3 linked regions of the Rattus norvegicus genome follow. The protein of the gene in region 3 purifies or fractionates together with the protein of the main gene of each other region. This does not show direct contact. Links are inferred from orthologs where the notes say so. Each region holds a gene or a part of one and is shown on either strand. Other genes may lie near its edges. The genes, in order: Ap3m1, Ap3b1 and Ap3s1.

Region 1 (10,461 bases), on a different chromosome or scaffold from region 3:
TCCTCCCTACCTTTCCAACTTCATGTTCTCTCCCCTTAAAAATGAAAAGGAAGAAAGAAAATCAAATAAAAAACACAGTAGGACAAAAAAAACAAAACAAAACAAAACAGAATGTGTATACATACATTCACACATACACAGAGTCATCCTTGTGTTAGCCAACTACTCCTGTGGATGGTGCCTACCCTACCCAGTGATACTGTATTGGACAAAAACAATTTTCCCTTTCCTAGCATGTATCAGTTGCAAACACTTCTTGGTTAGGAGTAGGACTTTGTGTCTGCGTCCCTTTCTCTACCCTGGGGTTTTTGTCTAGTTTGAATTTGTGGAGGTCTTTGTGTGGTGTCAGAGTCTATACGAGTTCTTATGTGTATCATCTCTGTTGCGCCTGGAAGATATTGTTTCTTTCCTTGGAGTCTCCACCACTTCTGGTTCTTGGACTCTTCTCTCCTATACACAGTTCCCTGAGTCTTGAGGGGAGGGGTTTGATAGACCTCCTATTTCAGGCTGAGTGCTCCAAAGTAACTCTCTGTGCTTCATCCAGTGGTGAGTCTCTGCATTCACTGCCATCTACTGCAACTGTGCATTTTCAGAGTACAATAAGTATAACCTCCAGCCCCCTTTGTTTTCCTTCACAGAAAATGATCCACAGTCTATTTCTCATCAACTGTTCTGGCGACATATTTCTAGAAAAACACTGGAAGAGCGTTGTAAGCCAATCTGTGTGTGACTATTTCTTTGAAGCTCAGGAGAAAGCTGCTGATGTTGAAAATGTACCACCTGTCATTTCAACACCTCACCACTACCTCATTAGTATCTACCGGGATAAGCTCTTCTTTGTGTCTGTGATACAGACTGAAGTGCCACCTCTCTTTGTAATTGAGTTTCTGCATCGAGTTGCTGACACTTTTCAGGTTTGTATCTGTCAAACTGTTGAAACTAAATCACCCAAGATAGTTCAAGGAGACAGACAGACAGACACACACACACACACACACACACACACACAAACACACACACACTGGTTATTGAAGTTTCTGTGTACTGTCTGACTTCTCTTTGCAACTAAACATATCTCATAAACACGTGCTGAGGGTATACGGTAGCACACATCGCCACTCTACTCATTGTTTTTTATGTGCGGCAAATTATATCATGAGGAGACAGGAGTGCCCTCCAACAAGTATTCTCTGGATCATCACAAAGTTTTTATTGATCATGAGATCCTTTATATTTCTGTTGTCTATTTCCTATTGTTTTGACGAGTAAACCAAATGGCTTAAAGCTCTGTAAGTGTGTGGGTGTGGGTTAATAGGGCAAATGAAGTTTATGCCTCACATTCCAGATTAATGTCTCAGTACTTTCTGGCATGATATAGTAGGAATCAGCTCAGTATAAATACAATAAGAAAATATTGAAGAGAAATGTTAGGACTTCCATAGAGAATTTTTTTCAAGCCTATATATTTCTAGCCTCATTAACCATGAGTTAACCTACTATTAGTTTACTCCAGTAGTTTACAAAGGGGATTAAGAACAGCAAGCCTTCCTCCCTGCCTTCTCTTGTTCAACACCATGACTGTTTTGTTAGGACTACTTTGGTGAGTGTTCAGAGGCTGCAATTAAGGATAATGTGGTCATAGTGTATGAGCTCTTGGAAGAAATGTTAGACAATGGATTCCCACTGGCTACCGAATCTAACATTCTGAAAGAACTGATTAAACCACCAACAATTCTACGTTCTGTCGTCAATTCTATTACAGGTATGAAAAATGAAAACACTGCTAGGAACTGATCCATTGAAACTGTATGAACAGCTCATTTTGCTCATATGACAGACTATTAGGGCAGTCCAGTTTGGCCAAAATTAAAGTTAACAATAATGTTTAAATGAATGTATATCTCTTCTCTCTCTCTCTCTCTCTCTCTCTCTCTCTCTCTCTCTCTCTCTCGGTGTGTAAGTGTGTGTGCACATGAATGCACACATGCCATAGTGTACACATAGAGGTCAGAAGACAGTGAGAGTTGGTTCTCCCCCTCTACCACATGCAATCTGGAGATTGAATCAGGTCCTAAGGCATAGCATCAAATGCCTTTACCCACTGGCCCATCTGGCCAGGCCCCCTTTTCTTTTGGAAGGTGGAGAACAGTAACAGAAACAGATAATATGTCAGGTGCAGCTCACATGTGTAATCATATCACTTGGGAATTGCTAAGTTCAGGGCCAATTTGGTATATAGAATGAGAAATTTGTTTTGTTTTGTTTATTGAAAGAGGCTCAGTCTTGAAGGACAAAGGACTTTTAGGGTTATACAGCTCATTTTCCTGTTGCTGGGTTCAATGCACAATACTTCAGAGAAAGAAAAACTAGTCAGTAGAAAATTAGATCATTAGTAGATGTCATGCATATTGGGCCTTATGCTTTTTTATAAATAAGCTTTCAATTGGGTATAATTCTAGGCCATATCTAGAAATTCAGTATATTCAGTTCATCCTTCGATTAAATCTACAAAAAGCGGGCATGGTGGCACAAGCCTTTAATCCTAGCATTCAGGAGAATTTGAGACCAGCCTAGTCTACAGAGTGAGTTCCAGGCTAGCCAGAGCTACATAATGGGATTCCATGCAAAAGAAAAAAAAGTCTAATAAAGGAAGATTCTTACTGAATGCTATATACCTCTCCAGCCAAATCTCTGGTTGTCCTTTTAACGTTGGGGAATTACACTCTGGGAAAACGGTTTAAATAAGAGCACTGTGGTATTTCATGGACACTGTAGTGAGGCACTGCAGATCTCTCACAGTACGAAGTGTGTTTGGTGGGGGAAACAGTACAAACTCGATAGATACATAGGTAGGTAGGTAGGTAGGTAGGTAGGTAGGTAGGTAGGTAGGTAGACAGACAGACAGAGAGATAAGTAGGTAGACAGACAGGCAAGCAGACAGACAGAGAGAGAGATATTTACAAAGAGAAAAATGCTAAAATGTTCACATTGACTATTTTTAGCTAAGGAGCCAGCCATCCTCATTTTTGCCGTATATGTTTTAAAATATATATTATGAATGTGTGCATGTGCATGGAGGACATTAGGTGTCATGTTCTGTTGCTCTCACCCGAGTTCTTTGTTGAGGAGAAGAGGTCCTCTGAACCTGGAGCTAGGTTGGCTCCCAGCCCTAGCCATGTGCGGCACATAGCCACATCCATCTTTTTATGTGTGTCCGGGGATCTGGCAGGTCCTCATGTCTGTATAGCAAGCACTTTTATCCACTGAGCCATCTCTCCAGCCCATTTCATACTTTTTAACTTTTAAGAAAAAAAATGGATAGGAAAAAATTACTAATGTGTAGTGTAAAACTATAGCATGGGATGATGACATATAAGAGAATTGTTCAGGCTGGATGTGGTGTGCACACCTGTTATCCCAACTACTAGGGCAACTAAAGGAGAGCAGTTGTAAGTTCACGGATACAGAGTCTTGATTATTAAACTAAAACCCTGAGTCTGTTTCCTAGTGCCACACCTATGTACACATACCAAAGAATGGTTCAATAGTTGAAGTAATCTTTCTTGAACTACCAAGTGGCCCTAGCACAGGACCCAGCAGAATCAGTAGAATGTGGAGTAAGATAAGTAAGAGCACTTATGAGGAAAATACACATAAAGTGGGAGGCTGAGCTGTGTCAGCCCCTCGAGCAGAAGTAGAGCTGTTCATAACTGAGCGCTGAAGGACATTCGGAGAAGGTGCAATTGGCCTACGCCTCTTCCCGTCCCAGCAGGACAGGAAGCCAAGATGGGAGAACACTTGTGCTGGGCCTAAAAAAAACATTTAACTTTTATCAGAAAACAAGCAGGGAGCACTAAAGGTTTCTGAACAGGGAAATAATATGATTAAAGCAGTGTTTTTCTAAAACACTTGGAAAGTAACAGGCTGGAGACAGGATCACCAGCAATAAATAGACTAAAACTAATGTTAATCTTGTTAGCTGCACACACTTCTCTAGCATTTGGGGGGCTGATGTGGGAGGATCCCCAGTTCTAAGCCATCCTGGACTATACACATATCTTGTCTTTAAAAACTAATCTAGAGTGGAATGTATTGTGTTGCTGTGTAGTCAAGAATGACTGAATTTGCAATCCTCCTGCCTCCACTTCCTCACAAGTGCTGGGGTTAAAGTACACACTCCACCATTCAATGCTGGACTTAAAACAAAAGGTTTTATGCATTCTAGGCAAACACTCTGCCTGTTACATCTCCAGCCCTGAAACCATATTTTATGTTTGTGAGGTGCTTTTGTGTGTATTTTGTTTTGTCTTTAGAGACAGCTCTCCTAAGCGGCTCAGGCTGGCTTTAAACTAGTGATGCCTTGGCCTCCTAAGTGTTAGAATTACAGGACTGTGCTCCCTGTCTTGTTTCCTGTCCTAATTTTTTATTTATTGCTTTATGAAAACGGGTTTTACCGTGTAGCTGTGCGTGGCCTGGAACTCACTCTGACCAGGCTGGCCTCAGACTTCCTGTTGTTCTCTTACTTTGTCTCTCAAATGCTAGGATTACAAATTCCAGCCCTACACCTGGCTTTACAGCTGTAAGAAAATCATAATTACCAAAATAGAAACACATTGGTAAATGCTACTTATGGGGGGACTATTTAAAGAAACATGCCTAAATGTTAACAGTAGCTGGTGTTAGTAATAGGAAACAGATTTTTGTTGTTGTTTTATAAATTTACTGCTTTTTACTGCTATGCAAATGTGTTACTTCTGAATTAAAATGTAAACTAAACAAAATGTTTAGTAAATCTCAGTGGAAGGGTCTCTGTTGAGATAACCATACATACAGTTTTCCAGGAAGCTAGTCAGATGCTGAACATTAGATAGACTGACTTTAAGAAAGGAGTTGGGCTTTTTGTTTGTTTTGTTTGTTTTCTTCGCTCTGTTTTGTTTCTGCGGTGCTGGGATTGAATACAGAGCCTTGCACGTGCTAGGCAGATGCTGTGCTGTAGAGCTGCAATCTCAATGCTGATTTAAAGTGGGAGTCAACAAAAGTATGTGCTGTGCCTGGGAACTCCACAGACAGTGGCAGTGCCTTATGTAGAGGAGCCAGGTTCTCAAGTCTTCTCAGCGGACACTTCTCATCAGCAGGGGTGTGAAGTAGCCCCCCCTTTTCATTGCTGGCAGCAGGACAGAACTCTTGTTGAACCACTGGAATCAGGTCAGGTTACTGCTAATAAACAGGAAGCAGAAGAAAAGTGAATGCCTTTATCTTGGTCTAACTGGTAGACACAGGGGCCCATGGCCTGTCTCTGGTCTCTGGTGTAGAATGTGCCTCCAGCATTCGAGAGCCCATCACAGCTGCTATGAAGGAAAATCCAAACATAAGTAGAAACTAAAGCATTCTTTTCTTTTCATAATCTTTCTAATAACCTTACACACACCCACTGTAGCTCTTCTTTTCTAATCCTAGGCAGTAGTAATGTTGGGGACACGCTCCCCACTGGGCAGCTGTCCAACATCCCGTGGCGTCGAGCAGGTGTAAAGTACACCAACAATGAAGCCTACTTTGATGTAGTCGAAGAGATAGATGCGATTATAGATAAATCAGGTAACTATGTACATGTGGTCTTCTGGGGAAAACTTCAGTCAATACAAGTTGAATGGAAAACTGAAATAAATCCCTTAGCAGGAGTTTTTCAGCAGAGAAACATTCATTTTCTATGATGTATAAATTCTTTTGTTCTGCCCAAAGGCTACATGTAATTATCACAACTACTGGTTGAGATATTGCCAGATGTTTCTAAGTCCCTCTTGCAGTTACTCATCTGACAGGTATTACATATCTGTGGTACCCATGCTTCTCCACTCTGTATAGCGTTCCTGCTAAAGGCCTCTTCCGGTTGGTTTTAACCAGAGAAAGCATTGGTGGTAAATATTAGAATCATAAAGTTTCATTTTTGAAACCTCTTATTCTATGCTCACAATGTATACACAAAACCACTGAGACTCAGAACTGTGTGACCTGCTCAGCCCCATACAACTAGTTGGTATATGGGAATGGGTGACAGGTATTGTCTTGTCTTCTCCCCACTCTAGCCCAAGCCTATAACTTAGTCCATTATGTGAAACCTGCTTCATCTTTAAATTGTGTCAAAATACTTTAAACTTCTGTCCAAATAACCTTACACAGTTGACTCTCTAAAGGTTTGATCTTTCTTAGAATAATTATACTCTAGCTAGTTAGGTGTAGCCAGTAAGAAACTGTTGAAACTGGTGTAATAGGTCTGAATCCATCCTCTGTCCTCTCACCTGTCAGTGAGGTGCACAGCCTGTGAGTCTGACAACCAGAATGTATTTCCATTTCTAGATACAGTGATAGCTCTAGAGAGGACCCAGATTCCATTAAGGTTATCAGCTTTTTCTTTCTTTAGGATCTACAGTCTTTGCAGAAATTCAAGGTGTCATTGATGCTTGCATTAAGCTGTCTGGAATGCCTGATCTCTCTCTCTCTTTCATGGTAAGTTATGATCTGTTCTATAGTCCCTTGTATGCATAATACATTTGAAATGCTAAATGATGTGATAATTGCTGAAATAAAATTGTTATCTAAAATTTTACTTATGTCGTATTTATGTGTGTGTCTGACTTGGCATGCATTTGCCAGGGCAGACATGTGGCGATGAGAGAACAACTTCTAGGAATTGATGGTCTCCTTCTACCATGAGGATCCTAGAGAGCAAACTCAGATCCTTGGGCTTGGAAACACCCTCTACCTTCTAAGTCCAGCCCTGGAGTGTATATGTTAGGTTACAAAGGATTATCTCAGGAATATTCCTAGCATAGCTTTCCAGACAGTAGTTGACAGGTGAACATGGCCTTGATGGAAAGGTCAGAGAGATGTCTTCACCTAGAATATGCTAGAACTGGCTGTGGATTCGCTGTCTGGCTTTTGTGTCTCCACTGTCGTTTTTCCTGAGGATTGGCTTTGCTTGTGCAGAAGGCCATTGATACTTGCATTGCTTTAGATGACACACTGCTGCAGACAGCGGAGGGAAGTGTGTTCTGCTTCCGTCTCTGTTCCCAGTGTCTCTTGACTCTCTTGAAGCTCCGTTTTCATCGATGGTTCCATAGTTTATTACCCTCAGGGAAAGTGATGTATGTAAAATGTTTGCAAACTCTAACAGGTTACAGCACTGTAAGGTGATTTAGATGTAAATCCTGCTGTCATACTCCTTATAGTCTCTGCATATGGCTTTTTCTCTTCCTTACAGAACCCAAGGCTTCTAGATGATGTCAGCTTCCACCCATGCATCCGGTTCAAACGCTGGGAATCTGAGAGAGTTTTGTCATTCATTCCTCCCGATGGAAATTTCCGACTCATATCATACCGCGTCAGCTCACAAAAGTAAGTTAATGCATCAGCTAGCATTTGCAGACACAGACAATTTGAATAGGATTCCCGGTTCTCATTTCACCTTTACAGTTTCGTGAGTTTATCAATGCTCCTTTAGCCCTGGCTCACGTAGAGACCTAGTGAGAACTGGTAATGATATGTACCCAAAACAGTTAGTGTTTCTGAACCTGGAAGTGTAGAAAAGTAGTGAGAGAGAATAAGTTAAAATCTATGACTAAGAACAAGCCTTTGGACTATGCATGACCTGGGCAAACCAGGAACTCAGTACCATAGTCACTATGGTCTGTAAACTAACAAGACAGGAAACCCTAAGACATCCAAACGACCTGCTTCAAGTCACCGTTCTCTACACTGAGTTTGGGTTTCGAGGTGGTTCTTGTTTTTAAAACGGTGTCTTAACTTGTTATCCAGGCTAGCCTCAAACTCTGGATCCTCCTGCCTCAGCTTCTGCCACCACATTCAGCTTGCATTGAATTTTAAAGTTTAACATTGTCAGCTGTAGATAACTTGTCCCTTAAAATTTCAGAAAACATTGGGGTAATAAAACAAAACTGAAGCTTTTTTCTGAGAAAATATTTCTTAGTGCTTTAAATTTTTTTAATGGGCTCTTTCTTTAATTTTTTTTAAACTATAACCCTTTATCTCAGTTGTTTATATGGTATTTAAAGGAGATTTCTGTTTTGGTTTATGTATTTGTACCATACCATACAGTTCTAGCACATTGGTACCAGAACTTTAATGTGCTCAACAACCCTAGTGCATAGCTTAATCTGCTAGGATCTATGGCCCTGTGGCACAGTTACAGAGATCATGGGACACATACTACATCTAGAGTGGTCCCATTCCTCTCGTTGTATACCTAATGTTCTTTTGTATCTCTCTCTCTCTGTCCTTTTTAGTCTAGTGGCAATCCCAGTGTATGTGAAACATAATATCAGCTTTAAGGAAAACAGCTCTTGTGGTAGATTTGATATAACAATTGGACCAAAACAGAATATGGGAAAAACGATTGAAGGAATCACAGTGACTGTTCACATGCCAAAAGTTGTGCTGAATATGAACCTGACACCAACACAAGGCAGCTATACATTCGATCCAGTCACCAAGGTACAGGCATTTGGAATCAAGAGTGAGACGTGTTCTGCTGTCTGTTTTGTGGTTGTGGGTGGAGGTCATAGTAGTTAGGAAGCAGGATCCTTACCTTGCTTACACATCTTTAGCTAAGGGTTTTCAGAGATCTAGACAAGATGGTTTTCCCTCAGCTCCCTTGCTTCCTGCTTATGTAGGAAACGTAAGTTTTCAGCAGAATAGAGTACTTGATAAATGCGGTGTGCTGTTTTGTTTTTGTTGTTTTGTTTGAAATGGGGGAGAAGAAGGTCTTACTTGTAGCCCAGGCTGGCTCAAAGCTACTTGCCTTTGCTCTATGCTTAGTAAAAAGCATGTTCTACCACTCTTAACTGAGAAGGTGTGATTTTTTTTTTTTTTAAATAAACTCATAGAGCATTTTTGAGACAGTTTCTTGATGTAGTTCTGGCTGTCCTGGAACTCACAGACACTCTTGCCTCTCCTTTCAGAGTGCGGAAGTTAAAGGCATAGGACATTAAAAGATCCTCTAACCTTGGGGCTGGAGAGATGGCTCAGGGTCTAAGAACATACACTGCTATTGTAGAACAGTCGTTTGGTTCCCAAAAACCATGTTTGAGGTACACAGTTGCCTTTAACTCCAGCTCCAGGGAATCTGACACTTTCTTCAGGCCTTTAAGATGTAACATCTTAAGAATTCAAAGAGCCTCTCTGGGGACCCTGTAAGTGTGAGCAGGCGAGTCCACGTCCTCAGTCAGCCCTTCACCAGAACTGCAGCCATGCTTACATCGATTGCTCAGGCCCACACAGGCCATTTTGCTGTAACTGAACGTTTAGTGATTAGAACAGAAGCCAATTGTCTGTTCCAGGCTTCTCCTGTTTTCCAAGACACTGCTTCATTTTGTGTAGTTTATACCATCTGCTGACCTCTGAGCATGTCTGTAACACAGTTCAGATTTTTTTCTCATGTCTTTTTAAGGTACTAGCATGGGATGTGGGGAAAATTACTCCACAAAAGCTCCCAAGTCTTAAAGGACTGGTAAATTTACAGTCAGGAGCACCCAAGCCAGAAGAGAACCCAAACCTCAACATACAGTTCAAGATCCAGCAGCTTGCTATTTCAGGTAACAACACACTTGCTGTGCATTGTGGGGAATTGGGGATAGGAGTGTAGAAAAGCTAACACAGGAGCAGCAGCAGCCATTTGGGAGCACAGCTTATCTGACGCTCTTCCATCACACATACCTCACCTCGCCTTCATTCAAGAGTTGGAGAAACTGTCATTTGTGTTCACGAAAGTGGAATTAGCTCGTTTCGTGAGCGTGTTTCTGTCCACAGGGGCATCTTAACTAAGGCCATGCTCCCTAGAGGACAGCATGTGGGTACTAGAAAAGGGATATTGTTTCCAAAATGATGAATGGAGCACTGTGCAGGGCACATGGAGGGCACAGCGTTCATTGCCAAACAAGTACTGCATTATTACTCGGGTAGTAATTATTTGTTTCATTCTTTTTGACACAGGCTTAAAAGTGAACCGCTTGGACATGTATGGTGAGAAGTATAAGCCATTTAAAGGAGTCAAGTATATCACAAAGGCCGGAAAGTTCCAAGTGAGGACATGAGAAGAGGCCAGACTTGCTCAAGATCAGTTTGTTTTGCAAGTGTCATTGCGGTTTCTTACTATTAGGTACCAAGTGGGTGGGAATAATATAGAGCATCTGGGTCAAGCTACCCTGCTAACAAAGTTGCTTAGTAATGATGTAGGCTCCTCAGGAGCTTTAAGCTAAGGAAAGTTTTCTAAAGACTTAGCTTATTTTGTATCTTTTCACTTAGGAAAAGGTTTAGGTGATTTTTTTCCATGGGGGCCACCAGCTGAATGCTGCCCATGGTAACAGTCAAGGCAGAAGGCTACAGTGATAACCTCTCTCCTAAAGCAAGTGAACTGGTCTCATCTTCCAGCAGGAACTGTCTCAGTCT
Region 2 (11,261 bases), on a different chromosome or scaffold from region 3:
TTCTTAAGATTTGATTATTTTTGCCGAACAGGTTAGCAAACAAGTTTTGCAACAGTCATCACTGGAAAGGGTTAAATCAAAGGACCACTGGTCCACTGTGGTCCTCTGCCTTCAGTTAGACGTTTGGTGATGTTTGTTAGATAACATTTTTGTTCTTAAAGCCTGCTCTAGCTATGTTGCCCAGGCTGGTCCCAAACTTCTGAGCTCATGTGATTCTCTCATGTTAGCCTCTGAGTAGATGGGACTACTAGTGTGCCTGGCCTCTAGCAAAATTTTAAGTGTGTATGTAATTCAATCTAGTTATTGGTGTTCTGAGACTGTAATTATGGAAATTCTGACACCAGGATGCGGACACATGCGTTCAAAAGGTTGTTATAATATTTTAAAATTTGGAAGAACACATATGTGTACAGCAGTAGGTTGCTGACTAGATAAAAAAGCCTCATCTAGGGGTTGGGGATTTAGCTCAGTGGTAGAGCACTTGCCTAGCAAGTGCAAGGCCCTGGGTTTGGTCCTCAGCTCCAAAAAAAAAAAAAAAAAAAAAAAAAAAAAAAAAAAAAAGCCTCATCTATTAATAAAGAGAACTAAGGCTAGACAGAATGTAAAATGGAGTAGGATTATTACAGTGGGAAAGAGCGAGCTAACCCAGGGATGCATTTCGAATATACCAGGGATAATTGGTGGTGATTCATAAGTGTTTGGAGAAGGAGGTCAGGTCTAGGAATAGAAGTCTAGCTGGAGAACGGAATTCCTGCTGATGGCAGACAGATGACCACCACACCAAGGGAGGGAGGGATCAACTTTGATTAGATATGGAGGGTGGAATATTCTTGCTAAAAATAACTTTACAAAGAACTGAGATAGATGTAGGTCCAGCAGAAGTCAGAAGGCTGCAAAGTTTGGTCAAGAAAAGAATCTTTTTCATTAACAAAATAAAATAATATGTCGATATTTAAAGCAAGGTAACTCTGTGTGGCATATGAGAGACAAAGGGGATGGATAAAGAGACCTAAGAGAATACAAAGAGGAAAAAAATAAGGTATAGGGCTGGAGAGGTGACTCTGATTAGGAGCACTAGGTGCCCTTCCAGAGGCCCCCGGTTCTGTTCCCAGCAGCTACATGGTAGCTCACAACTGTCTGTAGCTCCAGTTCCAGGAGATCTGACACCCTCAGACATACACAGATGCAGGTAGAGCACTATGCCCATAAAGTAGCTAAACAAATCTTTAAAAAGACATAAGATGACATTGATTTTAATTTGCATTAGGAGAAACACACACACATATTGTGCTTGGAGAACAAGTTCAATACATACAAACGTTTTTCTTTTTTTGATACAGGGTCTTGATATGTAGTTCCAGCTGTCCTTGCATGCACTGTTATATAACACAGACCTTGAACTCACAGAGATCTGCCTGCCTCTGCCTCCCAAGTGCTGGGAGTAAAGGTGTGGGCCACCAAGCCCAGCATCCAAATTTATCATATATTAGCATGATGGTTTAGATGAAAAAAAATGGAAATCAGAATATTACATGAAGGTTTTGGTGAGTATTGCAGAAAAATCATGGAAAAATAACCTTGTATTTTTGAAAAAAGTATTTATTTCAACACACACACACACACACACACACACACAATGTACATGAGGGTAGGAAAGAAATCTGGCTTAGGTTTGGTAATAGATTTGATTCTTTGGTTCTTTCTCAAGTGTTTCTTCTGGACAGTTAGCATTTATAATTTTTTATTAGAAAGCTTTAGGGCTATATAAAAGTTTTAAATTCTGGAGGAGTGGAAGATTAGACTTCTGCATAGGGAGTTAAAATTTTACTCTTTCTGTACAGATAGACAATCTTATAATTAGGGAGGTCTAGGTCTCTCCTTGTCCACTTCCTCATGTTTTCAGAATGTGCTGGCTGGTTTTATGTCAGCTTGACACAAGCTCGGGCCACTGGAGAGGAGGGAACCTCAATTGGAGACATGTCTCATGTTGTGGTGACTGCCCCTCCCCCCATCAAATCATTTTTGTTGCTACTTCCTGAATTTTGTTACTGTTATGAATCGTAATGTAAATTTCTGATAAGCAACACCTGAAGGGATTGTGATCCACAGGTGGAGAACAGCTGCTGTATGGGGCATTTTCTTTCTTTTTTTTTTTTTCTCTTTTCTTTTTTTTTCGGAGCTGGGGACCGAACCCAGGGCCTTGCGCTTGCTAGGCAAGCACTCTACCACTGAGCTAAATCCCCAACCCCTGGGCATTTTCTTACTTAGTGATTGATGTGGGCCTACCCCACCATGGATGGTGCCATCCCTGGCTGGTGGTCTTGGGTTCCATTAGAAAGCCGACAGCGGGGGCTGGAGAGATGGCTCAGTGGTTAAGAGCACTGACTACTCTTTCAAAGGTCCTGAGTTCAAATCCCAGCAACCACATGGTGGCTCACAACCAACTGTAATGGAATCTGATGCTCTCTTCTGGGGTGTGTCTGAAGACAGCTACAGTGTACTCATAAATAATAAATAAATTAATTAAAAAAAAAAAGCAAGCAGACAGCGCAAGCAATGGAGCAAGCCAGTAAGCAGCACCCATTCACTGCCATGCATCAGCTCCTGCTTCCAGGATCCTGTGAGTTCCTGTCCTGACTTCCTTTAATGATGGACAGCATGAGGAAGTGTAAGCCAAATAAATAAACCCTTCCCTCCCCAACTTGCTTTGGTCATGGTGTTTCATTACAGCAACAGAAACAGAGAAGGAGAATTTTATGTTTTTCCAAAGGACATAGGCTTTATATCTTTATAAAATATTCCAGGAAGGAGGAAAAAAATAAATTACCCAATACTGTTTCTTTTTCTTGAGAAACATAACAGCTTTGACAGCCCGTCCCATTCCAAGGACAAGCTAAACAGAATAAAGCAAGACTTCCCCCACAACTTTCCAAAGCACAGGTCAACTGTTTACACGAGTCTGTATGAAAACGAAACAAAACAACAACCAGTGAAAATCCAGCAGCTTGTTAAAGAAAGAGAGACTTGAGAATGAGTCCTTTTCAAGTGGGGTGTGCTGGTGCACCGCAGACTTGGCAGCTTAAGGCAGGAGGATTGCAGGTTCCAGGCCAGGCAGGGCTACAGAGTGAGACCCTGTCTCTAAAAACATAATAAACCTTTTTCATAAGAAAATGAACTATTCGAGATAAATTGGATTAACAGGTTTGTGTGCAATTCTAAGACAATAAAAAGCACCTGGGGAGGGGGAAACACATGAAAGATAACCATATTCATTATCGACATGAACATATAAATTAATTATAATACAAGTATCTATATGACATTTATGACAAAATTATGAGAATGTGAGGAAATCCCTCTCATTCATAAATGTTAGGAAAGCAATTTAGAATATCTAATAAAGGTGTATATATTCTAAAATTAAAAAATTATATACTCAGGTCTATTTTGTAGTGAGGATGTGTACAGCATTGCCATTACTTGACAGATAAAGTAAGCAAGTCCTAGTGTCTTTCCGTAGTAAACGAATTAATTCATGCACACCACTTAGAATAGTGTATGGGGTATAAGTTAAGCATCATATAACATCATATAACACCTCATCACCGTCGATCAGTCGTAGGAGAGATTCCACCAATATCATCTATACCGGGAAGCAATGTATTTGAGATGCTCTAACACACATGTTATCTGGACAGGTTCATTGAAAGGTTAACTAACTGCCAACATTTGATCAGTTTGGAGGCTCCTCTCCCTCCTGGCACTAGGGAGGATCATGTTTTCAGAAAGACGACGCGATATTTCAGTCAGGTAGAGAAATATTGGTGGGACCCGGGTTGGTGTTTGCCGGGTGCTACCATTGGGTTTTGGTGATTGTCTGTCGGGCTCCAGGTATTCAGTCCTTTCTGGACCGTAGGTGTAGGGAATGAGGAACGAAGGAACCATAGTCACCAGGGAGGCCGGCTGGTGAGGCTCCTCTTAGAAAGCTGCCCGGGGCAGGAGGGCTGCAGCTACCGCGACCACAAACCATCCCACCTAGCTGCTTAGGGGATGTTGGAAAGTTATTTGCCAAAGAGTGGGAGCAGGTGGCTCCCAGAGGCGAGCGCACTCCGGCACCTCGCCGAGGCGCTCGGGGCAGCTGACTGCGGGCAGGACGCACGCCTAGAACTCCAAGTGAGAACCTCAAGCCCCAGGAATACTTAGCCAAAGCTTGCCCGTGGATGATCGCCTCGGTGCAGAGCCTGCAAGCCTTCCCGGGAGGAGGAGCTTTCAAGTCTAGAACGTCAGTGGTCTGGCCACGCTGGCTAAGAGAGGGGCGGGAACCTGCCCTAAAGGTTGAGAACTCGTGACCACCGAAGCTAAATTCGTCTGGCGTGTGCTCGGTGTTTCAGGAGGATTCCGGGAGCGATCAGCGGACAACAGAAGTGAAGCAAAGAACCTTGAAGGGTCTGAGATCTCCTCCAGCAAAACGCATCCAAGGGCCTCAAATCCAGTACTTTACTTGCCCACTACCCTCCGGCAAACTCGGTGCAAAAACCACAGCTTCCTGTTAAGGGTCTCGGGTGCAGCTTCCCGGCGGCCTCTAACACCCGGAGCGCGAGAATCCAGCGCTCCCGGAGCGGCAGGCGCCGGCCCGCGCGGACTCAGTGCGCACGCGCAGGGGGTGGGCCGCCCGGCCGGCTGGAGCGGTGACGAGCCCGGAAGCGCCGGCGCGCGCCCCCTCCGCACCAGAACTAGTTTTGTTCGGTGTCCTCGGAACGCCAGCCACCCGGAGAGAACCCCGCAAGCTCCCGCCCGCACCCGCCCGCTGGCCGGCACCGCCGCAATGTCTAGCAACAGTTTCGCCTACAACGAGCAGTCCGGAGGAGGGGAGGCGGCGGAGCTGGGGCAGGAGGCCACCTCGACCATCTCTTCCTCGGGCGCCTTCGGCCTCTTCAGCAGCGATTGGAAGAAGTGAGGACCCGGGCTCGGGGTGCGGGAGCGCTGCGGGGACGCTAGGCGGCCACCCGGCTGCTCTCGGTTCCGGAGGAACCTCCCTGCGGTCCCCGCTGCAGTGGGTGGGTGGGTGGGGTAGCCCCGCCGGCTGCGGGGCTTGTTCGGAACGTCTGGGGACGCCAAAGGCGACGCCGGTGGTTTTCAAACTTTGGTGGGGGAAAGGAAAACCGGTTGTTGAGCTGAGGTTCCACTTCCCAAACCGTTGACAGAGTTGATCTGGGCTGAGCACAGGAGCTTGAATTTTGAACTAGTGAATCAAACTAGTGGACAGGATCAGACCTCGAGAAAGTCATTTATTTAAAGGTGACGAGAGTATTTGGGGAAGGGGGTTGAGAGTGGGCCTGCTGCTTATTTGGACCCTGCAATATAAGGACTAAGAGGTGGGGTTCTCTATGAATGACAGCTTTGTTTTTTTAAAACCCTTTGGCGTTTTCTTACACCGTGATCTTTGCACCAGAGTACTCTTTCCCCCGCCCTCTAAGGCATTGAGATAATATTTAAATAGAGTGTTGCTGTGAACCAAACCTAATTCTAGTTATTTACAAATAGTATGAATTTTAAAAATAATCACTAACCACTTTTGTAAACAGTTACTTAGGGTTCACAGCAAATACCGCCCAGAATTGAAAACATCCTTAGCGGATTCAGTTTTAGTTTAGTTTTTTTGTGGGGTGGGGTGGGGTGGGCTTTGCTTTGTCGTGGTTCCTCCCCACCCCTTGCTTTCTGACAGGGTCTCACTATGTAACCTTGGCTGATCTGGAACTCACTAGGTAGAGCAGGCTGGCCTGAAAAATCAGAGAAATCCTCCTGTCTCTGCTACCCCAGTGCACAAACCACCATGCCATTTTATGTTTTTCTTATTTTTGATCTCTTATTGTTACATAGTGCAGGAAAACATAATAAACCGTCACTTAAGGTAAGGAAACTGGACTGATAGTCTTGTGGGTGTTAAGGGGTATAATTAAAATAAGAATTTGTGGATTAGACAGCTCAGGCTGGTCCCCAACTGGAACTTGCCATTCTCCTGTGTCTGCCTCCCAGGTGCTAATAGTTGAAATTGAGGTGAAAATTCGACTCTATTGACTAACATCTTGCATAAAGCATATAAATTATTTGTGTTCATTATTTCCAGGATATGAATGTTTAAAACATGATTGCTGTAAATCTGTCTTTGTGTGCATTTGTGTGACTGACTGATCCAACAAGGCGTTTATTATAACTACATTTCCCTCAGTAGAAGGTTTCAGTAGTTGAATTTGCATGTGACTTGTGTACACTTAGTCTACTTTTCTAATCTCTAAGCATCTAAGGTGTTTTTTCTTTCCGGCTATGTAAAATTTGGGAAGAATGCATGCCTCACAGCTGAAGTTAGGGTTGAAGTAAAATGAGCGAACCTTGAGTGCTTGTGCATGGACACTCATAATTAACATCTTCAGTGTGTTTCTGCATGCCGGGGCCTTGCCTAGGCCAGTGCTCTGCCACCAAGCTACATCCCTAGTCCTCAGTCTTTAGTGGGCTGTTCCTAGTACTTCCATGATTCCACTTTAAGGGTGAGGAAACGGGAGTCTAGTTGGTTAATTTGCCCAAGGTCACGAAGCTGTCAAATTTGAACCTAGACATTATAATCTCAGTTCTTTCTTTTTTTTTTTTTTTTTTTTCAGTTCTTTCTTTAATGTGTTTGCGTATGCTATTAACTCCTTGAAATCAATGCTATTTTTTCTTTTCTTTTCTTTTTTTTTCCGGAGCTGGGGACCGAACCCAGGGCCTTGTGCTTGCTAGGCAAGCGCTCTACCACTGAGCTAAATCCCCAACCCTGTTGTTTTTTTTTTTTTTTTTTTTTTTTTTTTTTAATTAGGGAATGCATACAGCTCACCAAAAGTTTAAAGTTTTGCATAGTAGCCATAGATCCTATATGACTTCTGGCTTTCAGGAACTGAAACATTTTGGCTACTGAGCTGCAGTTTAATGGAGTCAGTCGTGTAGAAAGCAACAGACTCCTATTCTGGAAGTGGCCACCTAGTCTCTCCTGAGCTCTCATTAAAAACATTTGTCTTTCAAAATAGGATCTCACTATGTAGCTCAGGCTGGCCTCAAACTTGTAATCCTTCTGCCTTAGATTCTTGAATGCTTGGATTTCTGGGTGTGACCTATCACACCTGGACATTTTGCTCCACTTTTTAATGGATTACTTTGTAATAGCTTCTTTTCCTTTTGTCTTTGACTTTAAAATCATTTCAGTTTTTATGCCCCCAGCATTTGTCAGGAGAACCACTCTATGTAAAGTCACTGGTTATCATTTTAGATTTTACTTTTTCACTTGCGTTGGTGTGTGGGTTTGTGTGGTACCCTCGGAGGCCAGAAGAAGGCCTGGAACTGGTGTTAACAGGCATACGGTGCTGGAACTGAAACTGGGGTCTTCTGAAGATCAGTGTGGACTCTCAGCCGCTGAGCTCTCTCTCCAGTCTGGAGCCACAGTCAAAACAGTCACTGTGCTCCCCTGCCCCTCCTGTCTCCTTCCCTCTTCTCTCTGCCTTACCCCTTTCCTTTCACATTCACACACACACTTCTCTACACACATGTCACATGCATTGTTGTCTTCTGAACCGTGGAGATTATGTTTAGATCGTGCCCTTTACCCTTAAAACCTTAGTATCTGTTTTTGGTAATAAAAACAGTCCCTTAAGTCGTCAGATATGATCAAGGAGTTAACACTGGTACAGGAGATATCGTGCTAGTCAACAGGCCTTTGCTGGAGTCCCATCATCTTTGGGTTTGAGTTTCCGACACTGATTTGAGCACAGTGTCGTAATGTGTCATCTGTTGTGCCTAGAGACACAAGGTACCCAATCTTCCTAAGTTTCCCAGTTAAGGGCTTTTCTGGTAGCTTGATTTCTATTTTTACCCCCTTCCCCAATCTGGGTTTCTTGGGAGATAGCTCGAGACCATTTGGCTAGCTTTTACATTAAAGTCTTCAGCAGCCAGCCATGAAGTTTTTGTTATAGAGATGGGCCTCTGTGTGTGTGCAGGTAAGTGTAGGTGATTAAGGAGGGCAGCAGAGGGCAGCAGATGCCCTAGGGTTGGAGTAGGCGTGGCTGTGATGTGGATTGGTAGCCTAAGATACAGTCTCCTGAACCTGCCTGCTGCTGTGGCTGAGTGGGGTGCCCTGCTCCCTGTGTCCTCTGCCGTGCACTCTCTCGTTGTGTGTTCTTTAGTACTTCACTGACTGTTCCAAATACGTCTAATCTCTTCCTGATCAGTCACTGATTTTTGTTCTCAGACTCTATTTGAAATTTTGTAACCCTTCTCATCCTTCAAACAAAACCAGAACGGGAAGCTTACATTGCCTATGAATGCATATCCCCCTCAGCATATAGCTTTTGTGAATCATCCCAGTGCATTACTTTACTGGCCTTACAATGTTCTTCACTTTTAAATGTAAAGAGCTAACTTCTGCCCCCTGGCCCCCGCCGCTTTATTTTGGAATAGTCTATATTTCCATTGCTTTTAGTTATCACCTAAGTCATTTGTCTTTATTTTTCAAAAAAAAAAAAGAAAAAAGAAAAAAAAAAGAAAAAGAACCTTCCTTACCTTAGTCCATTTGGGTGTATATATAAAGAAATAATTTCAATTTCTTCTGGCTTACCATCTAATTGCAAAGTAGTTTCTAGATGAAGGGTAAGACTAGTCAATTTTCTGATTTTCTTCTGAATTTCTAAGTGTCTTTTTATGTATCTCATTAAAAAAATTAGAGCAATCATTTAAAACAATTTTATTGCCACGCAGTAATTTTATATATGTGTGTGTGTATATGTATATACATATATATATACACATATACATATACATATATATATTTATGGTGTTCATGGTGGCATTTCAACATGTGTATACATTACAAACTGATCAAACCAGGGTAAATTAGCAATTCTGTCTCCTTATTTTTTTTGTGTACAGCCTTTGGCTCCTTTCTTGTTTCTCACAACTGTGAAGTAGTTCATTGAGGATTATAACTGGCTTACTGTACTATGGCAGTGTCTTAGTTACTGTTCTGTTGCTGTAAGGAGACACCATGACCAAGGCAACTTTTGTAAAAGAAAGCGTTTAACTGGGAGTTTGCTTCAGTTTCAGAGTGTTAGTCCATGATCATCCTGGTATACACAGGCCTGACACTGGAGCAGTCATTGAGAACATCCCATCCTGATCTGCAGGTAGCAGGCAGAGGGAGCAAGACTGGTCCTGGTGTGGGCTTTTGAAACCCTAGAGCCAGTCCCAGAAGCATATCTTCTCCAGCAAAACCACACCTTCTCTAACAAGCACACACCCGATCCTTCCCAAACAGTTTCACGAAGTGGGACCAAGCATTGCACATACGAGCCTATGGGAGCCATTCTCATTCAGACCATCACAGGGGACTAGAACTCCTTTCATCTAACTAGTTTGGTAGTCATCCAGCTCCTCTCTTTTCCCCTCTCAGTTCAACAGAAACATACGAGTGATTGCAAATGTGTGATGCTGGTTATGCTGGAGCACAGGGTTTCCCAAGTCTCCCCTTCCTAGAGAGCATTGTGCTATTAGAGAGTCACAGGAGGCAGAAGGTTTAAGTTAATGCTTTCCAGTGATAGCAGCTCAGCTATCACTCTTGCTCAGCTTGGTTGAGTTCTTCACATTTCCGTTTCCTTGTTTCTAGAAAGGCGTGGTAATACTTGCCTGTTCTGGGAGATTTTTTGTAAGACAGCGTATTTAAAGGAGAGCTCTCATCTTCCCTCTCCCCTTTCTCTTTCTCTCCTTCCTCTTTCCTTCTTTCCCTTCCCTGTCCATTCTTCCTGTCTGTCTGTCTAGAGCTATGATCTCCTATTGTTCAGGCTGGCCCGGAACTCACTGTGTAGACAGATTAGCAGTCCTTTTCCCTCAGCCCCTCTGTAGTCCTGGGATGACAAGCATGAGTCACTGTGTGCAGAAGAGGGTGAGTTTTCTTTCTTTCTTTCTTTTTTTTTTTTTTTTTGGTTCTTTTTTTTCAGAGCTAGGGACCGAACGAGGGTGAGTTTTCTAACCTAGAATCAAAACTAGGAAAACGTGCCAGAGTGCCACTGAAGTGCTGGTGCTGCAGCCTGAGGTCTGAGGAGCCTTGCCACACGGGTGAAAGAGGGAGCTTATTTAGGGCCAGAGAGCTGCAGGAAAGGACCCACATCCGAATGAAAGCAAGGTGGGCCTCCATGTTCTCAGCAGCAGCTAGGGAAGCTTGGGGGTGGTTGAACCACCCAGGCAGACTGTTAGAAGATGGGCAGTGCACATAAAACCCATTTGCCTCTGAATAGAAGACTCTGGAAAGAGTGCAGGGGGTAAATGGAATGGAGGCCGCAGCGGGCCCTTGCATGTAATAATTAAAGATTAGCAACCAGGAATTCAGCAATCCGTCCCTACTGACTGAATTACATTGAAAGGTGAAAGGTTTAGCCCTCTGCTGATGTTGGAGTGGATTTGTTACTTTAGATTCAAAGAGCATTTTTAGAGACTACCTGAGGGCTGCCTGTTTTCTCTGTTTCCCTGAAATGGGAGTTAGATTACGTGCGTTATCATTACATGCATTACCAGCTTTGTGGTGGCAGCTTTGAGCATTCCCTCCCTCCCTCCGTTCCTCCCTCCCTCCCGTCTTTAATCTCAGTGCTTCTCACTGCTGCTGAGTCTGGAGACCACACTCACCTGGTTTGTATGAAGCTCTCACAGGCCCAGCTTTATCTCTCCCGTTTTGCTGTCTTTCAAGAAGTTAGTAGACATGCGCCTAGTGAGACAGTCTATTTAGAGGATGGCCTTAAGTATATTTTCCAAAACAAGCCAGTTCTAGGTGTCAGTAAAACATTATTTTGACATAGCTTAAACTGTGTCACTGTGTCACAAGATGAGCTGTAAATGTGTTTATGCAACTGTTTCCATTTCTATCTATATGTTAGTTTTATTAGAATCTGTGTCATGTTTTTATTTTTTATTTAATGCTTCTTTATGGTTTCAGTTGTCCCCTTTATTCTTACTCTAGTGTTTCTGATCGACATGTTTACTTTATCCAGTGATTCTGTGGCCTTGGCATTCTAGGAACTCAGTGGATATTTGTTAAACATTTATCAAGAGCAGTGGTTTTCAATCTTCCTAACACTGTGACCCTTTAATACAAGTCCTCATGTTGTGGTGACCCCCAACCATAAAGTTACTTCATTGCTGTTTATAACTGTAATCTGCCTGCTGTTAGGAACTGTAGTATAAATACTTGATAT
Region 3 (10,461 bases):
TATTTTCAGAATGTCTTAAAATACTGTTAAACCTGTAGACTTGATGTTAATACACATGAATTCCTTCTTCAGAGTGAAGATACGCAACAGCAAATCATCAGGGAGACTTTCCATCTGGTGTCTAAGCGAGACGAGAATGTTTGTAATTTCCTAGAAGGAGGATTGTAAGTACAGCATTTCATGGGTTTTCTAATTTCCAGTGTGAAATGACAGTCTGTACTGCTATTGATGATGAAAATTCCTCATTATAATTAATTAAATTAGGTAATTTTGTTGCTACCAGTATTAGTTTTAACTCTAATCTATACACTTTTTAAGATATGCAAACTTTCTAAATTCCTTGTTATTTTATATAAAGTTAATATATTCATATAGTAGAATTTACTTATTATAGGTAAATATAAATTTTTAAAATAATTTTTCTCTCCCGTCTTAGTTCTTTCCCCCAGTTTCTTGTATATCCCTCTAGAAAGTGCATCTTACTTTTCATGTCTTTGCCTGTTGGGTTTTTTGGTTCAACATTTTACCTATAAATACATCTGGAGAAATGGAGCTCATTTGGTAAAGATGCCTGCCGGCTGCCAATCCTGATGCCTGAATTGGATCCCTAGAACCCATATAATAAAGAGAGCTTATTCCTCTCTCTCTCTCTCTCTCTCTCTCTCTCTCTCTCTCTCTCTCTCTCTCTCTCTAAAATGGGTATTGTATTCCTAGGGTGAATACACATAAAAATTCAGATCATATCCTTTATTTTATTATAAACAGTGTGTCTTTCAATTATGTCTATGTACTTATATACCACTAGTATAGATTCAGCTGGTAGATGTTTCTATTTTTAAAATGAAAAAAAATCTTGCTAAACTAAACAAACATTGAAAATATTTTTATTTTTATTTTTCATTGTTTGCAACATTGGGAATTAAACACAAGGCTTTCTGTATGCTAGGCAAGTGCTTTTCTGCTGATGTCCATCCCTAACTCTAAATAAATACTTTAAAATGAATGGATTTTATTGAAAGCAGCTTACTTCTAAATATTTCTAGAAATACTTTCTCCCCAATTATATAATTAATACACTTAATGAGAGTTAATGCTAAGAATCAGCTTAGCCTCATGAATGATAAAATGCATATTATAAAAAAAAATTGGGCAGCAGAACCCATTTTTGTCTGACCATAATGTTTCTTTTATGTGGAGAGTATATTTGTGCATCATCAGCTCCTTGTCATTGTTTGCATTTAAAAAGTGTTTTATCATGCTGTACTTAAACATGAAATGCATATTTATGATTTGTAGATTTTGCTGTTAACCCCACTCCAGACTCTAATTTAATGGCCAAGGCAGCCACTTGTGTTTCTGTTAGATCTCGGTAGGAATCCAGTTGTCTCTGCCATAGGCATTGCTTCTCTCTCTCATCTTTGTACCTTATCTCACAGACTGCTTCACCTTGCATAGTGCATTACACTAGGTAGACTGATCCAAAGAGGGTCCTGTTTGGATAGAATTATACCTTGAAATTGAGATTCTTTCCTAACCATATGAAAAACAGGAACCAAATACCATGTCTTTCTGTCTTTGTTATGGTTCTGAGTCTGGCTAGCCAGTTTACTGGGTCACGTTGTTCAAATCCTTGGAACTTCATTTTCGTCTCCAAAGAATCTAAGGAGATATCAGAAATTAGCAATTTCTATTTGTAAAATTTTACATACTGTATATCACCTCTGTATTGTATAGTGTTATGGTATCTTGACACAAACTAGAGTCCTCAGAGAGGAGGGAGCCTCAGTTTAGAAAATGTCTCCATGAGATCCAGCTGTAAGGCATTTTCTTAGTGATTGATGGGGGAGACCCAGCTCATTGTGTATGGTGCCATCTCTGAGCTGGTGGTCCTGGGTTCTATAAGAAAGCAAGCTGAGCAAAACAGGGACAGCAAGTCAGTAAGCCCCTCCGTGGCTTCTGCATCAGCTCCTGCCTCCAGGTTCCTGCCTTGAGTTCTTGTCCTGACGTCCTTCAGTGATGGACTACTATAGAAGTGTAAGTCACCTTAACCCTTTCCTCAAAGACTTGTGTTTTGGTCATGGTATTTCATCATAGCAATAGAAACCCTTTTCTATTAATGGCTACTTTGTAACATTTTTCAGAAGCATGGTCTTCTTTTAAAACATAAACAAACAAAACCTAAAATGAATTTGCTGATGTGCTCATTTTGCCCCTACAGTGAACAATAGTAACTGTTGTCATAACCAATCTCAGAATATTTAAAGTGCACATAAAGACTTTTAAATTAAACTCTTTCTAGACAAGTAACCCAGCATAGTAGGAATCCCTCATTTTTTCCCCCCAAGATAATTTCTGTTTTTGTTCTTACAGGACAAGAGAGAGTATGTACTTAGAGAAGTAGTTCTTTAGAGCTTATGAGTTTAGTGTTATGTTTACAGAATAGGAAAAATGCCACATCCTATATTGCTGAGAATGCTTTCTTAGTTTTGATTATGTATGGCCTGGTTTTAAATTATGTTAATGTTTAAGTAGTCTTGAGAATGTGAAATTGCTATTATAAACTTGACTATTATACAGCTAAAATATATTTGGAAAAACATAAGATGTCTCAGATGACTACTAAATTCTTTTAAAAACGCTAAATTCTAAATAATATGAATATATGAATAAAAGTATTTTATGAAAGGATTGAATATTAGCATGGTATTCTTACATTTAGATTTAAGAAAAATGTTTTTGGAGAGTGTCATGATACTACGTCTATTTAAAGCTTAAAAAATACTTTTTTTTTTCCTAGCTGATGATCAGTTTTAAGCTGTGGGTTTTACTGTGACTTATGAAGTTATATCTTGTAAGCACTTGCACATGCCCCGTGATCTGGTTTCTTCCAGTTCCTTCAGCCTCATTGTTTACTAATCTCTTGTTTCCTGGCCTCACATCTCATTGAAAGTGCATACTGTCTTGATGAAACAAACCTTTTCAGTCATTGCTCTCTTAGCCCAAGGTGCTTTTCTCTTCATTTTTCCATGGCTCACCCTACTGATTAGATGTCAGTCTGGATATTGCTGTCTCTCAATGTCCATTCTGAACTCCATGGATATGCTGGAGACCTGTCTTGGCTCCCTGTGTGATACCCTCCCCTACCTGTTAACTTTCTTGTCTCCTTACATGCTATAGTGCTTGACACACAGCACTTACTCAGTGAATACTGTAATGAATAAACTAACTAAAATTAAGCACTGCTTTCTTTTACTTGACATTTCTGAAGAAAATTGCTATCTTAATTTGCTTAGTTTCTGAAGTAAGTTTACTTGAATGCTACGCCATTGTTTTATTTTATAAAAGTTTTTAACAAATGTGATTTTGTTTGAACTAATGAAGTGTTCTGCATTTTGTTCCCTACACCATTTCAATTATCTTGTTTTGTCATTTAGATTAATTGGAGGATCTGACAACAAACTGATTTACAGACATTATGCAACACTATATTTTGTCTTCTGTGTGGATTCCTCAGAAAGTGAACTTGGCATTTTAGATCTAATTCAAGTAAGTCAACAGTTGCATCTTACTACCATTACTTAGGTTTTTTTATTCTATTTTTATAAACTTAAGATTAAAGTTTTATAAAACGATGTTGTTTGATAAGAGCTGTTCTATAGTAGATATTATGGGTATGCTGTGACATAGTGCCACATAAATCAAGTTAGAGGAAAGATTGATTTTGGTTCACAGTTCTGGAAATTTCAGTCTGCCAGCTGATCCCATTGAATCTAAGTCCATTGCAAAGGAGTAGCGTTGGAAGAAAGCTTGGTAGAGGTATGCTCTGTCCTCATGGCAGGGGGAGCAAAGAGGGCCGGGGACAACATAGACATTTCAAAGACACCTCCCAGAGACCCCTTCTTCAACTAGGTTCCACCTCCTGATAGTCTGTTTAGGTATGAACTTATAAGTAGATTAATTCACTTAGACAGTGCCCTCATGATCCAGTTCAAACCATGTTAAAGGGCTGTAGAAACTAAATTGATTAGGAGTAATTAAAGCTAATTTCATCATGCCTTTTTTGTTCGTGTGAGTTACTGCAAGGAACCCAAGATTGTGAATCTCTCTGCATGTGTCTGAATCTGATCTAAAGACTTGACTCTTCTGAAAAACGTTTGTAATGTCTGTAGAACTCATCAGTTACCAGAAAACTCAATTTGAATCTTACCTGTTAATGTTGCTTCAGCTCTTTAGATCTTGCTTCTTCTTCATCATTGCCTTCAACCTTCACAAGTAACAGTTTGTGCGTATATGTGTTTGCCTTTTCATATCATTGAGCCTGGAGATGTTTTATTTGTTTCTTCCAGGATATTTTCTTTTAGAACATCTCCAGATTTCATCTCATATTATCAGACTAGTCATCTTCCTACATTTTTAGTTGTATCCATCTCCATCTGTCTCCCATACTTTGGGGCTTTATTAACAAATGTAGAGGGTTAGAACTTTTGCTCTGTTTGCACGCCGATGAGTTAATCTATAGTTTAAAGGGTGATGGCAGAAGATGACAGAAGATTTCTTGCATTATTAATAACCCAGAAACATTACCCACAAAACAAATCAGCCCAAAACAAATTAGCCCAAACCCTGATAATGTTTGCCTGCATTAGTTCTCAGTTCTAGAAGGGTCAGGTGATGTCTGCACCACAGTAGATCAGATCACATAGGGGACAGACCTCAGAGTTAGGGAACTGGAATTCTTTATAATGGGTGAATCACATCTGCTCTGAAAAGGATGAGATACTCTTTAAAAGACAAGATAAGCTTATCCTTTTCTTTTAAGGAAGACATTATTTTCCAAGGCTGTTTGTCAGTGAGACAGTTTGAAAAGATAATCAAAGACACAGATAACAATTGCCTCTGTTCCCAGGATTGCAGAAACCTATACTCTGTAGACTTTTTAGAGTTGCTTCGTATTCAGTAGAAGAGGGTATGTGTGAAGTTCCGTGGGACCGTCAGTGTTCACATGTGTAATATTCAGTAGCCTCATATCTTCAAACCTGGAACCACATTCCTTCAGAGCTTTGCTTTCTGCCCCAGCTTTCTGTTCATGTCTCATTTTTATACAAAGTACTAGTCAGTCCACAATCTGTGTAATTTCTTCTCTCAGCTGCCTTCTTATCTTTCTGTTTTACTGTTTCTCTTGTTCTGGGTCCCTCAGGTTTCAACATGTCATGTTTTTCCTTCTCCCTGATCCTATTGAGGTTTGGCCTATCCTTATTCAGCTTAGACTCTATGGGTATCTTAAGCTAGACCTCACTTCTAGACCATCACAAACAAAACTGAAGCAGTCAGGAGAGAACATTGGCAGGCTCTTGCTGTCTACCTGCCTTTCTCCTGTGTGTTGTAGAAACAATGCATTCACTGTACTCCTAGCTGAGGAACCAGGCCTTCTGAGGTTAGCTTTCACTTCTCTTGCTCCAGCAACACCCCTCACTTTGTAGCATTTTATCCTCTTCTAAATCATTCCCTCAGCCAGCACTGTGCTCTTCCACCTTCGCTCCCTTTCTACTGTCTCTCTCTGTTGATAACAAATTATTTTGCTACAGAAGGAATATCTGAAACTGGTTTGCTCTCTTGCACTATTGTCGTGAATTACAGGTTCTTCCTCTGTTTGATTCAGATTGCCATTCACTCTTGATAAATACTCTACTTGATCTTGAGGATAGTTCTTCCCTACTTCTTGTCTTGGGTATCTTCTCTTTTTGTGGCTTTATTCTTTTGGTAAGGTAATTTCATACTAATAGTGTCTGTGTATTGATGGTACTAAATTTAATCTTTAGCCTAGACCTTTCCTTCGAATGGCTGATTTAAGACTCAAGTTTCTGCTGGGCATCTCCGCTTGGGTATTACGTGAAGATCTCACACTGAAATAGATCTGAAACCTGTATTTCCTGTAGTTTTTGTCTTTTTTTTTTTTAGGATTTTATTTATTTATTGTATATATATATATATATGAGTACAATGTAGCCATCTTCAGACACACCAGAAGAGGGCATCAAGAACCCATTACAGATGGTTGTGAGCCACCATGTGGTTGCTGGGAATTGAACTCAGGACCTTGGCAAGAGCAATCAGTGCTCTTAACTGCTGAGCCATCTCTCCAGCCCTGTAGTTTTTGTCTTATCGTTACTAACAGCTGAACTCTTCAAGTCAGAGCCTGAGTACTTGCTTGTTCTTTGGCCTTATTTTCTGCATTCTGCTCCATCTTAAGCAAATCCTTTGCCTGACCTCTTATTTCTTCACTGTGGTCCAAGTTACATTTGTAGTCTGACAGTTCTGACTGCTCTCTCTTTCTCTGTCTGTCTGTCTGTCTGTCTCTCTCTCTCTCTCTCTCTCTCTCTCTCTCTCTCTCTCTCTCTCTCTCTCTCGGGTCTTTACTCAGTGCATCAGTCAAGTGCCATTGTAATATGCTGCATCTCACACCTTTTATTCTAGACTCTTCATAGCCTCAGCTTTTATTGGAGTAAAAGCCACTATGTCATAGGCTACCCAGGAGCCTATGTGTGTTGACCCCTTCCTGTTGCTTGTCTTCTGTGTCCTACTCATGTGCTCAGCCTCTTGTTGATGCTACAGGCATATGCCTACTTCAGACTTGGTACTTGTTGGCTTTTATGCCTGAGATGTTCGTTCACTTGGTACTCACTTGGCAGGCTCCATTTCATTCTTCCCGATTTTGACCAGAAATGACCTTTTCAGTATGGAATTCTGTGGTCATGCTTTCTAAAAATCTCCTCTACATTTCTAACCATTGATTTGCTGTATTTTTCCTTTCCTTAGCACCTGCTATTATTTTCTATGATGCTTTATTGTCATTTACTGCTAATAGAATAAAAGCTCCCAAGAGGACCTAGAGTCATTTATTGACTTATCTACCAGGACTATATACTGTGTTGCATTAGTATTGCTGATTTATCTCACACAAGGAATAGTAGGTCTTCAACAAATAATTGTTTGATGTGTGAATAAATGAATGAATTTAATGCCTATATGTAGTATTTAGAATAAAATAACTGATAATAAGGGCAAAAACGTTAGAATAGTTATTTGGAAATGTAGCTGTCACTACATGCTATTGACATTTTCTTATCTGAGTTCTACTTGATTGGCTAATTGTGAGAATCATTAAGTCATCTATATCTATCTATCTATCTATCTATCTATCTATCTATGCATGCACACATATGTATATATATACACATATATATTTATATATATATATATATATATATAAAATATGTGGTTTTTATATTTTAAGTTTATATGTCATACCATCTCTAAAAGCTAAAGAAAAAAAGTAAATTGCATTCATAAATGTAGTTATAGGCCAGGGATCAGGTAAAAGCACTTGCTTTGCAAGCTGGCTGACTTTATTTCAATCTGAGAACAGAATCCACAGGTAGAACCAACACCATAAAGTTGTCCTCTAACCTCTAACCATGTAGCTGTGTGTGTGTGTGTGTGTGTGTGTGTGTGTGTGTGTGTGTATAAACACTAATAAATACAATTTAAAAATTAATTATTGTAAGTAGTTTGCTTTGGATCAAGATTATCAAGAGAAAATATACAGAATTTTTTTTCCTTTCTGAATAGTACACAAATAGAGATGTGGCATCAGTAAGTTGTAAGCTGGGGAAAGCTGTATGTAAAAAGATTCGTCAAATGAGTTATGATTTTTAAATCTGCAGGAAGGAAGCACTTTTTGATTTTAAATGAGAAATTACTAAGTAGAAAATGTAATCATAAATTCTGAGTGACCAAGCTTAGACATATAAGTAACAAGACTAAATAAAGCTTTTGGTATTGCTTTTGTTAGTAAGGTTAAAAACAGTATGTGCCAGTGGAGCTGTTAGTATACCACTTTACTCTTAAACTCTTTTTTTTTTTAAATTGGATATTTTCTTTATCTACATTTCAAGTGTTAGTCCCTTTCTTGGTTGCTCCTCTGAAAACTCCCCATCCCATCTCCCTACCCTGCCTCCATGAGGGTGCTCCCCCACCCACCCACCCACTTCCTCCTGCCTCCTTGCCCTACACTGGGGTGTCAAACCTTCACAGAACCAAGGGCCTCTCCTCCCATTGATGCCCATCAAGGCCCATCCTCTGCTACATATACTGATGGAGTTAGGGTCGCTTCATGTGTATTCTTTGGTTGGTTATTTAGCCCTAGGAGCTCTGAGTGGGGGGTCTGGTTGGTTGATACTGTTGTTCTTCCTATGGGGTTGCAAACCCCTTCAGTTACCTCAGTCTTTTCTCTAACTCCTCTATTGGGGACCCCATTATTAGTCCAGTGGTTGGCTGCAAGCATCCGCCTATGTATTTGTCTGGCTCTGACAGACAGCTATAGCAGTCTCCTGTCAGCATGCACCTCTTGGCATCTCCAATAGTGACTGGGTTTGTTGACTGCATGTGGGATGGATCCCCATGTGTAGCAGTCTCTGGATGGCCTTTCCTTCAGTGTCTGCTCCACACTTTGTCTCCATATTTCTTCCTGTGAATATTTTGTTCCCCCTTCTAAGAAGGACTGAAGCAGCCACACTTTGGTCTTCCTTCTTCTTGAGCTTCATGTGGTCAGTGAATTGTATCTTGGGTATTCTGAACTTTTGGACTAATATTCACTTATCGGTGAGTGCATACCATGTGTGTTCTTTTGTGATTGGGTTACCTCACTCAGGATGATATTTGGAACCCAGTTCCATCCATTTGCCTATGAATTTCATGAAGTCATTGTTTTTGATAGCTGAGTAATATTCCATTGTTTAGATGTACCACATTTTCTGTATCCATTCCTCTGTTGAAGGGCATCTTGGTTCTTTCAGGCTTCTTCTGGCTATAATAAATAAGGCTGCTATGAACATAGTGGAGCATGTGTCCTTGTTATATGTTTGAGCATCTTTTGGGTATATGCTTAGGAGTGGTATAGCTGGGTCCTCAGATAGTACTATGTCCAATTTTCTGAGGGACCTCCAGACTGATATCCAGAGTGGTTGTACCAGCTTGCAATCCCACAATGGAGGAGTGTTCTTCTTTCTCCACATCCTCAGCAGCAACTGCTGTCACCCGAGTTTTTGATCTTAGCCATTCTGACTGGTGTGAGGTGGAATCTCAGGGTTGTTTTGATTTTCATTTCCCTGATGACTAAAGATGTTGCTTTTCAGCCATTCAGTATTCTTCAGTTGAGAATTCTTTGTTTAGCTCTGTACCCCATTTTTAAATAGAATTATTTGATTCTCTGGAGTCTTAACTTCTTGAGTTCTTTGTATATATTGGATATCAGCCTTCTATTGGATGTAGGATTGGTAAAGATATTTTCCCAGTCTGTTGTTTGCTGTTTTGTCCTATTGACAGTGTCCTTTGCCTTACAGACTTACAGCTTTGCAATTTTATGAGGACCCATTTTTTGATTCTTGATCTTAGAGCATAAGCCATTGGTGTTCTGCTCAGGAAATTTTCCCCTGTGCCCATGTGTTCACTCTCTCTTCTATTAGTTTCAGTGTATCTGTTTTGTTTTGTTTTTGTTTTTGTTTTTGTTTTTTTCTTTTTTTTTTTTTTGGAGCTGGGGACCTAACCCAGGGCCTTGCACTTGCTAGGCAAGCGCTCTACCACTGAGCTAAATCCCCAATCCCCTGTGTATCTGGTTTTATGTGGAAGTCCTTGATTCACTTGGACTTGAGCTTTGTACAAGTTGATAAGAATGGATCAATTTGCATTTTTCTACACGTTGATTGCCAGTTGAACCAGCACCATTTTTGAAAAATTCTCGCAAACCGAATCCAAGAACACATCAAAATGATCATCCATCATTTCAAGTAGGCTTCATTCCAGGGATGCAGAGATGGTTCAGTATATGTAAATCTATCAATGTAATCCACTATATAAACAAACTCAAAGAAAATAACCATATGATCACCTCATTAGATGCTGAGAAAGCATTTGACAAAATACAACACCTCTTCATGATAAAAGTCCTGAAAAGAACAGGAATTCAAGGCCCATACCTAAACATAGTAAAAGCCATATACAGCAAACCAGTAGCTAACATCAAACTAAATGGAGAGAAACTTGAAGCAATCCCACTAAAATCAGGGACTAGACAAGGCTGCCCACTCTCTCCTTACCTATTCAATATAGTACTTGAAGTCCTTGCCAGAGCAATCAGACAACAAAAGGAGGTCAAAGGGATACAAATTGGAAAGGAAGAAGTAAAAAAAAAATCACTATTTGCAGATGATATGAGAGTATACTTAAGTGACCCCAAAAATTACACCAGAGAACTACTAAACCTGATAAACAACTTCAGCAAAATGGCTGGATATAAAATTAACTCAAAGAAATCAGTAGCCTTCCCCTATTCAAAGAATAAACAGGCTGAGAAAGAAATTAGTGAAACAACACCCTTCACAATAGTCACTCTCTTAAACTTCT

What was found.
Region 1: the proteins of Ap3s1 (region 3) and Ap3m1 purify together in Homo sapiens (co-immunoprecipitation; 4 studies listed by BioGRID and IntAct, counting the BioPlex papers as one, with this or other methods). This does not show direct contact. The link is inferred for Rattus norvegicus from reciprocal best matches to the Homo sapiens genes AP3S1 and AP3M1.
Region 2: the proteins of Ap3s1 (region 3) and Ap3b1 fractionate together in Homo sapiens (co-fractionation; 5 studies listed by BioGRID and IntAct, counting the BioPlex papers as one, with this or other methods). This does not show direct contact. The link is inferred for Rattus norvegicus from reciprocal best matches to the Homo sapiens genes AP3S1 and AP3B1.

The regions. Positions count from the first base shown.
Region 1 is NC_086033.1:3,302,161-3,312,621, forward strand, and holds part of Ap3m1 (AP-3 complex subunit mu-1), read left to right. Parts: intron 1-638; coding exon of another isoform or gene 639-641; coding exon 642-914; intron 915-1,590; coding exon 1,591-1,762; intron 1,763-5,457; coding exon 5,458-5,595; intron 5,596-6,418; coding exon 6,419-6,504; intron 6,505-7,258; coding exon 7,259-7,392; intron 7,393-8,300; coding exon 8,301-8,508; intron 8,509-9,463; coding exon 9,464-9,608; intron 9,609-10,005; coding exon 10,006-10,106; 3' UTR 10,107-10,461. UniProt on the Homo sapiens protein: Part of the AP-3 complex, an adaptor-related complex which is not clathrin-associated. The complex is associated with the Golgi region as well as more peripheral structures.
Region 2 is NC_086020.1:27,330,205-27,341,465, forward strand, and holds the start of Ap3b1 (AP-3 complex subunit beta-1), read left to right. Parts: upstream 1-4,753; 5' UTR 4,754-4,825; coding exon of another isoform or gene 4,826-4,953; intron 4,954-11,261. UniProt on the Homo sapiens protein: Subunit of non-clathrin- and clathrin-associated adaptor protein complex 3 (AP-3) that plays a role in protein sorting in the late-Golgi/trans-Golgi network (TGN) and/or endosomes.
Region 3 is NC_086036.1:41,674,117-41,684,577, forward strand, and holds part of Ap3s1 (AP-3 complex subunit sigma-1), read left to right. Parts: intron 1-72; coding exon 73-164; intron 165-3,434; coding exon 3,435-3,546; intron 3,547-10,461. UniProt on the Homo sapiens protein: Part of the AP-3 complex, an adaptor-related complex which is not clathrin-associated. The complex is associated with the Golgi region as well as more peripheral structures.